Linked DNA regions of Daphnia pulex. The protein of the gene in region 2 purifies or fractionates together with the protein of the main gene of each other region. This does not show direct contact. Links are inferred from orthologs where the notes say so. Each region holds a gene or a part of one and is shown on either strand. Other genes may lie near its edges.

Evidence for each region.
Region 1: the proteins of deubiquitinase OTUD6B-like (region 2) and ubiquitin thioesterase otubain-like fractionate together in Homo sapiens (co-fractionation; 4 studies listed by BioGRID and IntAct, with this or other methods). This does not show direct contact. The link is inferred for Daphnia pulex from reciprocal best matches to the Homo sapiens genes OTUD6B and OTUB1.

What each region holds. Positions count from the first base shown.
Region 1 is NC_060021.1:6,843,150-6,846,595, forward strand, and holds ubiquitin thioesterase otubain-like, read left to right. Parts: upstream 1-1,475; 5' UTR 1,476-1,589; coding exon 1,590-1,755; intron 1,756-1,829; coding exon 1,830-1,879; intron 1,880-2,015; coding exon 2,016-2,315; intron 2,316-2,383; coding exon 2,384-2,464; intron 2,465-2,521; coding exon 2,522-2,641; intron 2,642-2,706; coding exon 2,707-2,907; 3' UTR 2,908-2,946; downstream 2,947-3,446. Other genes in the region: AT-rich interactive domain-containing protein 4B-like, read left to right, coding at 21-352, 419-538, 624-775; uncharacterized protein LOC124194062, read right to left, coding at 3,433-3,446. UniProt on the Homo sapiens protein: Hydrolase that can specifically remove 'Lys-48'-linked conjugated ubiquitin from proteins and plays an important regulatory role at the level of protein turnover by preventing degradation.
Region 2 is NC_060021.1:6,053,161-6,057,195, reverse strand, and holds the start of deubiquitinase OTUD6B-like, read left to right. Parts: upstream 1-1,235; 5' UTR 1,236-1,398; coding exon 1,399-1,507; intron 1,508-1,591; coding exon 1,592-1,722; intron 1,723-1,785; coding exon 1,786-2,042; intron 2,043-2,100; coding exon 2,101-2,302; intron 2,303-2,568; coding exon 2,569-2,775; 3' UTR 2,776-2,823; exon of another isoform or gene 2,824-2,893; intron 2,894-3,897; exon of another isoform or gene 3,898-4,035. Other genes in the region: tyrosine-protein phosphatase non-receptor type 23-like, read left to right, coding at 19-120, 184-494.

The DNA.
Region 1 (3,446 bases), about 790 kb from region 2:
TTCATTTCTTCTGGATTTAGGGATCATGGTGGAATGTCACCAGATCATAGTAGTGTTAAATCAGAGCGCGAATTCTCAGAAAACGACAATGCTGCTCCTGGTGCTCAGGTATCCCAAAATGCAATTGAACTTCCTGTAGTGCGAAACATAGGACCAAGGGCAAGCGCGACAGCTCAACCAGTACCACCACCAGTTGTTAAACGACGAGAGGATGAAGCTTCTCGTCAAATGCAACATCATCAAGAGGAAGAATCGCCTGTCAAACGACGAAGAAGAGGAGCTGTTCTGGGTGCGTCCGATCAGAATTCATCCCGCAGAGGCAGAGGTCACGGTCGGAGTCCAAGAAGAACTGGTGAGTTAATTTTTATTTCATGAAATGAAGTAATAATTAAATTATTTATCATATTCCCGTTTTAAGGTTCCGATAGCGAGGATACAGTAACAGATTACGTTAATTCCTCGAGCATGGGATCAGGTTGTGTGAGCTTGTCCAATTATCAGCCTCGTTCGTCTCGATACAATTTCTGCACAGATCTCGGTAATTAACGTCTTTTCCTATTTAATTTTTCAAACTTAACGCGATGTGTAAAAATTGTTATTAATTTTTTTTTTATTTTACGTAGACCCAGAGTTGGACGCAACACAGCGCATCGCTTCTTTACAGGACAAACTTCGCGAATTAAGACAAACCTACAGTGCATTGAAGGCAAGGGTCATGCTAATCGACCGCCGTAGAAAGAAATTGAAGCGCAAAGAGAAGGAAGCCGCATCTTGATAACATGATGGATTAACAAAATATGCACAATAGGTTTTCTTAATTTTATTCGATTATGACAAGTGACTTTATAAAACAGTTTGTGTTATTTATTTCTAACTGACCGCCGTTGCGATGAATCATGCATTTCCCATTGTTTCTCATTTCATTGTTTGTATATGTGTGCGTGTATGGAATACTCTCTCAACATCCTCGTCGTGGATGCGTGATGACTAGAGCCTTGACAGTCGATACTTCGTGAAAAGATCCACTGGTGGTTGCAATTCAATCAGAATCCTGAAGAAAAAAAGCCCGTATTCCCACTATTGATAAATAGCCAGCTATTCTGGTTAATTTGTTATCTTATATTGGTGAACTGATGTTGGACCTGATTAGAATAACCCCATTGATGATTCATTTAGTTGCCATTTGTTTAAAAATGAGAGAAGCAAACTTTTCCCCTATTGTTAAGGTTCTTGACATGGTAACGTGAAAACTCGCATTTTAAATGATTGATTTCTAATTGTTTTTGCATCCCTTTTCTTTCATTCTCCATCTGTCTTTTTAAATTTCTGAAATGAAGACCTTTATGATTTCCCCACTTTACGCCCTAACCTCAGTTTTTCGTATGGTATTTCGGCCATTTCCTCCCTAATTTTAGAGAAAAAACATTGAGCAATTTCATTTCGGAGATGTTTTACAGCTTTGAAATGGAATAAAATACGATAATTATGTCTTTTGGCGATCGAATTTTGAAATACAATTTATTAGCGGATAGAAAAAAGCTGACTTTAAATCAAATCGCAACGCTGTAGAAGTAGTTGAAGTTTTGTTCATGCAAATTAGCAGCTGTTTGCTGGGGGGTAGTCGAGTCTTTATTTTTTTTGTTCTTGTTTCTTCATTCCTATTCGATTTACTTCTTCCATTGGAATTGGTGACAAAGTGCGTTACTTCTCACTTGGGAATTAACAATTCAAACATGGAAATGGTACCAGAAACGGGTATGTTAATACGGAAATACGTGACGAGTTTTCATTGATTCGTTAATGGCATGTTTTGTTATTTTTAAACCAAGAAATCCAAGATGAAGGCATTCTAAAGCAGCAAAGAGAGATTGAAAAAGAGGTTTGTTGACATTGCTGTGACCAAGAATTTTATAAATGTTAAATGATCTCTTAATATATTTTGGTCAACAATTGTGTTTTGCTACTCTCATGTCAATGTATTTTTATCTTTAAGTTATCTTATTTACAAATAATAGGTTGCAGAGATCCATCCCTTGGTTGGAAATAAACAACCACTGACATGTCTACTGAAAGAGTACATGGATGATCCAATATATACAAATAAGTTGACAAAATTGGCTGGTGTGTATCAGTCGATCAGAAGAGTGCGACCAGATGGAAACTGCTTTTTCAGAGGATTTGGATTTTCCTATTTTGAAAGACTTCTGGATAATGAAGAAGAATGGAAAACATTTCAGGCTATTGTGATGGGCACAAAGGATCAGCTGATATCACAAGGATTTCCTAAATTTACTCTAGAAGACTTCTTTGATTCGGTATGGATCCATAAGAATAAGAAAAATGAATTCCTTGTAATATTGTTTTTTTTTTTTTTTTTTTTTAGTTTATGGAAGTAGTTAACCGCCTTGGAGGTGAGGGGAAAATGGACGCAGAAGAATTAAGTCGAATTTTCAACGATGCCGGGGTAAGTATGAGCAAGAAAACGTTTCGATACTTTGACTTACGTGTGATATTTCTACAGACCAGTGATTATTTGGTTGTTTATCTCCGCCTTGTAACATCTGGACAATTACAAAAAGAGGAAGACTTCTACCAGAATTTCTTGGAGGGAGGCAAGAGTATGAGAGAATTTTGTCAGCAGGTACTACAATAAGTGGGAGAGAGAAGTTTTAAAATCTTTAACTTAATTGTACTCTTAATTTTCAGGAAGTGGAACCCATGTATCGCGAATCGGATCACATGCATGCCATAGCCCTAGGATCAGCTTTGAAAGTTGGTATTCGAGTTGTTTATTTAGATCGAGGTGAAATTACCACTAGTCCTCCAGAACATGATTTCCCAGAAGATTGCACTCCTTCCGTTTATCTGCTATATAGACCCGGCCATTACGATATTCTGTACAAGTAAAGACGAATAAAACCGAAGATATTTCCCTTTTTCAAGAAATGAATTGAGCAAGTTAAACGTTATTAATATACAATTGTATTCTGCATACGACGGCGCAGTGTTATACAAAAAAAAAATAAGCCATGCCAGTTGTTCTTATCTAGAAATGGGTTGAAAAAACGTATTTACAAAAACCAGATTGTTTCGGCGGACTTCCACCTTTCTTCCTTTAGAACGCTGCAACCTGTAACGAAACAAAACACTGCACGGCATTAATAATTTTTTCCGATTTACAAGGATCGACCAGGATTATAATGAAAGGAAACAGACCATTTTACGATACATTAATAACCTAACCCAATGGTGCAAGAACCTCGGTAGTTGATCATATATGGGGTGGTAGGCTCCATCAATGTGTAACAACACTGTGAATATTCATAGAAAATGCATAATACAAACAAACAAAAAACATACTGGCATAGCTAAATATGTGACACAGGGCACCTACATTTAAGAATGTTTGTAATTTGATAGGTTTCCATATCCTCAAACTTGTGCAG
Region 2 (4,035 bases):
TAATTTGCTTGAATATAGGAGGAATTTTGTCGGGAACGACTTCATTGCAAGGATCCCCTATAAAGAAACATCATCCATCGCAAGATTTCATTCATTCACCGATTCCAACTCCTTCGAACAGTAAAAATGTTTAACCGTTGCCAACATTTTGCATTTGATTTATGACGCGTTCGATCTTTGTAGATGCGACACCTGTGTTGGAGGCAGCGGCGAATGTTTTGAAAGAAACGACAGCAACGGAAGAAGTGGCTCCCCAAGTAACAGAAGAACCAGCAGCGATGTTGCAAACGACAGACACACCTACGCCAAAAAAGAGCCAGGCTCTAGGGGCGTTGGCTATCCTTGATCCGGCAAACTTCACGTTGGACGGCGGCCAAACAAATAGACACCGCGTTACAAAAGAAAGTTTTAAAAACGCCTCTCAGCTCGGTTCAATGTCTGATCCTTCTGATCCGCTCAGCCAACTCGATCCTTTGTGGTCATTGGCTAAATAAGTTTTTCTGAGTCAAATTGAAGGCCATTATTATCGATACTACGCTGATGGCAAAAGATAGCGAATTATTTCTTGCCTCTTTCTTCTTCTTCATTATTATTTAGTAATCTGATCAAATAGCTTCCCATGGCGACATATTAGTTTGTTAGCATCGTCTGAAGATTTAACCCGTGGAAGAATGGCATATTTTGCATTCCGCTAAGTTTTTTGGAATTTTATGATTGATGTACCGAATACACGTTCAACATTAAGTGCCGCTAAAATTTGACTTTTAAGTGGTTTTGAGAAATGCACAGTTATTTGCAAATTGAATGTGTTTTAGCAATGGCTTGCTTCACGTTGGCGGGGCAATGAGAAAAATGGTATGCAGCTGCTGACTATTGCATCACAAAGGGAGCTTTATCGTTGTTGGACTTGAGCAAGCGCATCTTGAGCCTGAGGAAATTTTGCTGTCTTATTAGAAAGCGCGCACAATTCCATATGTCTTGTGTGTAGATTAGCTAGTCAAGGACGCGCGCGTATACAACAGAAACGCCTCGCCATGCAAACAACAAAAAAAGGAAAGGGGTAACCCTCGATCTCTTTGTATCGATGCAGCCCCAAAAACCAAAAGACCTGATGAAAAAACCGAAGAATAGTCATCACCATCTACCAACTACGGCAATTTTTACCGTTGAATTTGGGTAATCGATTGTCCTCGTGTGTTTATACAAAAAGGATGCTGTTTAGTTTCAAATGAGCTGGCATCGTCTGCTAGCTTTCGAAAATTCTCATTTCTCATGTGTGCTCAGTCAGTTTAGTAGGGGATTCTTGGTATATTTATGTGCCTATTGAGGTACATTTATTTATGATCGCATGAGATTACAGAGCTTTTTGGTGTTGTAATCATCATTCGAAAAGAAAGAATGGCCGAAGAAAATTCCACCGATGAATTAATAGAAGAGAAGGCTGAAGAGTTGGACGGCGAGGAAGAATTATTGGCTCGGCACCGGAAGGAAAAAAAAGATATTCAAGGTTCTTTGGACTTTCAAAATTGCATATTCTCGGAGAATATTTGTTTATTTATATTTTTTTGCTTATTGATATTTATTCAAACAGCAAAGATTCAAGCTTTGAAGAAGACAGCAACGAAAGGAGACAAAAAGAAAAAGAAGGACGTGGCTGAGGAGATTGCCAAGCTAGAAACTGAAATAGAGACTAAACATGCTGCAGAATTGAAGAAATTTCAGGTTGTGCAGCCCATTGATATGATAAATATGTTTGTGTCATGTTTTGAATTAATTTTTTAAAAGGAATCCACAGCTGAAACCAAGAAAATCTCTGAGCAACTAGAAGATGTAAACTTGGCAGCCAAGGGTGAAGGAAAAGTCACAAAGGCTCAAAGAAGAAGAGACAAAAAACAGGACCAAGCCAAAGAAAGGGTGCAGTTGATTGAAGAACAGGAGAAAGCTAATCTTTTGGGAGTCAGGCACACTGAAACCCAGAAAATCAAAGCAATACTGGCCAAGCAAAATCTGACTTTCTTTGAAATACCATCTGATGGCAACTGGTACTTTCTACATAATTCATTTTCGTACAAGACGTAATATATTTCATTGTTTCCCCAGCATGTTCGCGGCCATACTGCACCAAATTAACCGCGGAGGTGTCTCACAGTCTGTGCAGCAACTTCGCAATCTTGCGGCAGAATTTATGCGTTCAAACGTGGACGATTTCATGCCGTTCATGGACGAGGTGGAAAACGAAGAACAATACATGAAATACTGCGACGATCTCCAACGAACCGCCACGTGGGGTAGCCAGCTGGAGGTACATACAATACAATCTTCTTCATTCTTGACCGCTGTTGTTGCGCTCAGTGAAAATATGAATAACTATTGCTTAGCCTGTCGAGGGAGGGAGGGAAAATTTCGATTGATGATGGAGCCTCCTCTTTAGGAGATGCGCACAACCTTGGGGCCTTTCCGTTGACGATGAATGGATGAAAACTAATTTCCATTTGTGTATTTTTTTTTTCTCTCTTTTATCCATTGCCTCTGACCCCTTGCGGCAACAATAACAACACTTAACTGCAGTTGCGAGCTTTAAGTCAAGTTTTACGACGTCCCTTTGAAGTCGTGCAGGCTGAAGGTCGTCCTGTTATCATAGGCGAAGAATTCACGGATCCATCATCTACTCCGGTACTGCTCACTTACCATCGCCACATGTACGGCTTGGGAGAACATTACAACAGCGTCCAGCCTCGGCCAGCCGACGACGAGGACAATGACGGCGGCCAATAAACCAACATCCCGCCATCTCTCTCAGTAATCTCCCACCTTCACCCAAAAGTAAATGGTGAGCTTTATAATGGGAAAATTCCAACCTTTATTTCGCGAGATTACAAAAAGTGCAAACACACACACGTGAATATCTTGTGAGTGGCTCGGCAGTTTTCGTTTTTCTTTCTCTTTCTGGAAATTTTCCATCGTTAAAATAACCGTCTGTATGTATGACGAATGCCAGTGTACTTGGCAGCTCTAAACGGCTTGTTTTTGGGACCGAACCAGTCCACCAAACGTGCAATTTAGATTTAAAAGTTAAGAATATCTTTTAAGGCTGTTGCGGTTTATTAGTGTTATTCTTTTATTGAGTGGAGTCAACTCCTCCCCGAGTTGATGAGAGAATTCCGGTCACGATGCCGAAGGTGTTTATCCACTCTAGTCATCTACGAAAGCCATTAAGTCTCGAAAGAAAAAAAGACAAAGGGAAAATGCCGGGACAATGCCGCCCTCTCGTTCGCCCCCTCCGTCCGTCTAAAGTATCATCGTATAGTTTTTAGTAATAATCGGCAACGAGCTATAAATGCGAATGATATTCTGACCCCCCGTCAACAAGATGAGCCACAAATGGAGTCGTTCGCCCGTCGCGCACGAGCGATGAAATTTTCGCCACAGTCCTACTATAGTACCCATATAAAATGACTCGACTACTACCACCTATCGCTGACGGCTTTTCTTTTTTCTCGTTTTTACATTTTTATTGGACAGGACAACGGCGAAATGTCCTTGATCCATGCGCCATAAAGTTACACTGTATCATCATCAAAGAAGAGTCCTGATGAAGATTTTTTCTCTCTTTTCTCAAACAAGTTATTCAAGGACAACAGTTTTTTTCTTTTTATTCATTTCTCTTTTTCTTGCTGCCCCCTACACAGTTATTAACTGTTTTGGTCGTCGTCGTCGTCGTGTTTCCCCAGCAGTTTTGTATTGAAATTTTTGCGTATCACGTTCCGCGATTGTCTGAATTTTTCAGTTTCGTTTTCCAACGGGTAAAATTTATGTTATTTTTTTGTCTGACTAGTTACGGATTTCTCTCTTTTCGGCCCCGCAACTGATGAGTTGTCACTTTTGTTTCCATTTCAGAGTTATGAAATTGGCTGGAGAAGCAAAATTGATGATGTGATACATTCGTGCGCGTACGTGTAACGTATCCTTCTCTGCCCTTTGGGGGCGGACAGACAGGATGTTGTAAAGAAAGAAAAACTACACCGGGGAGGAAGG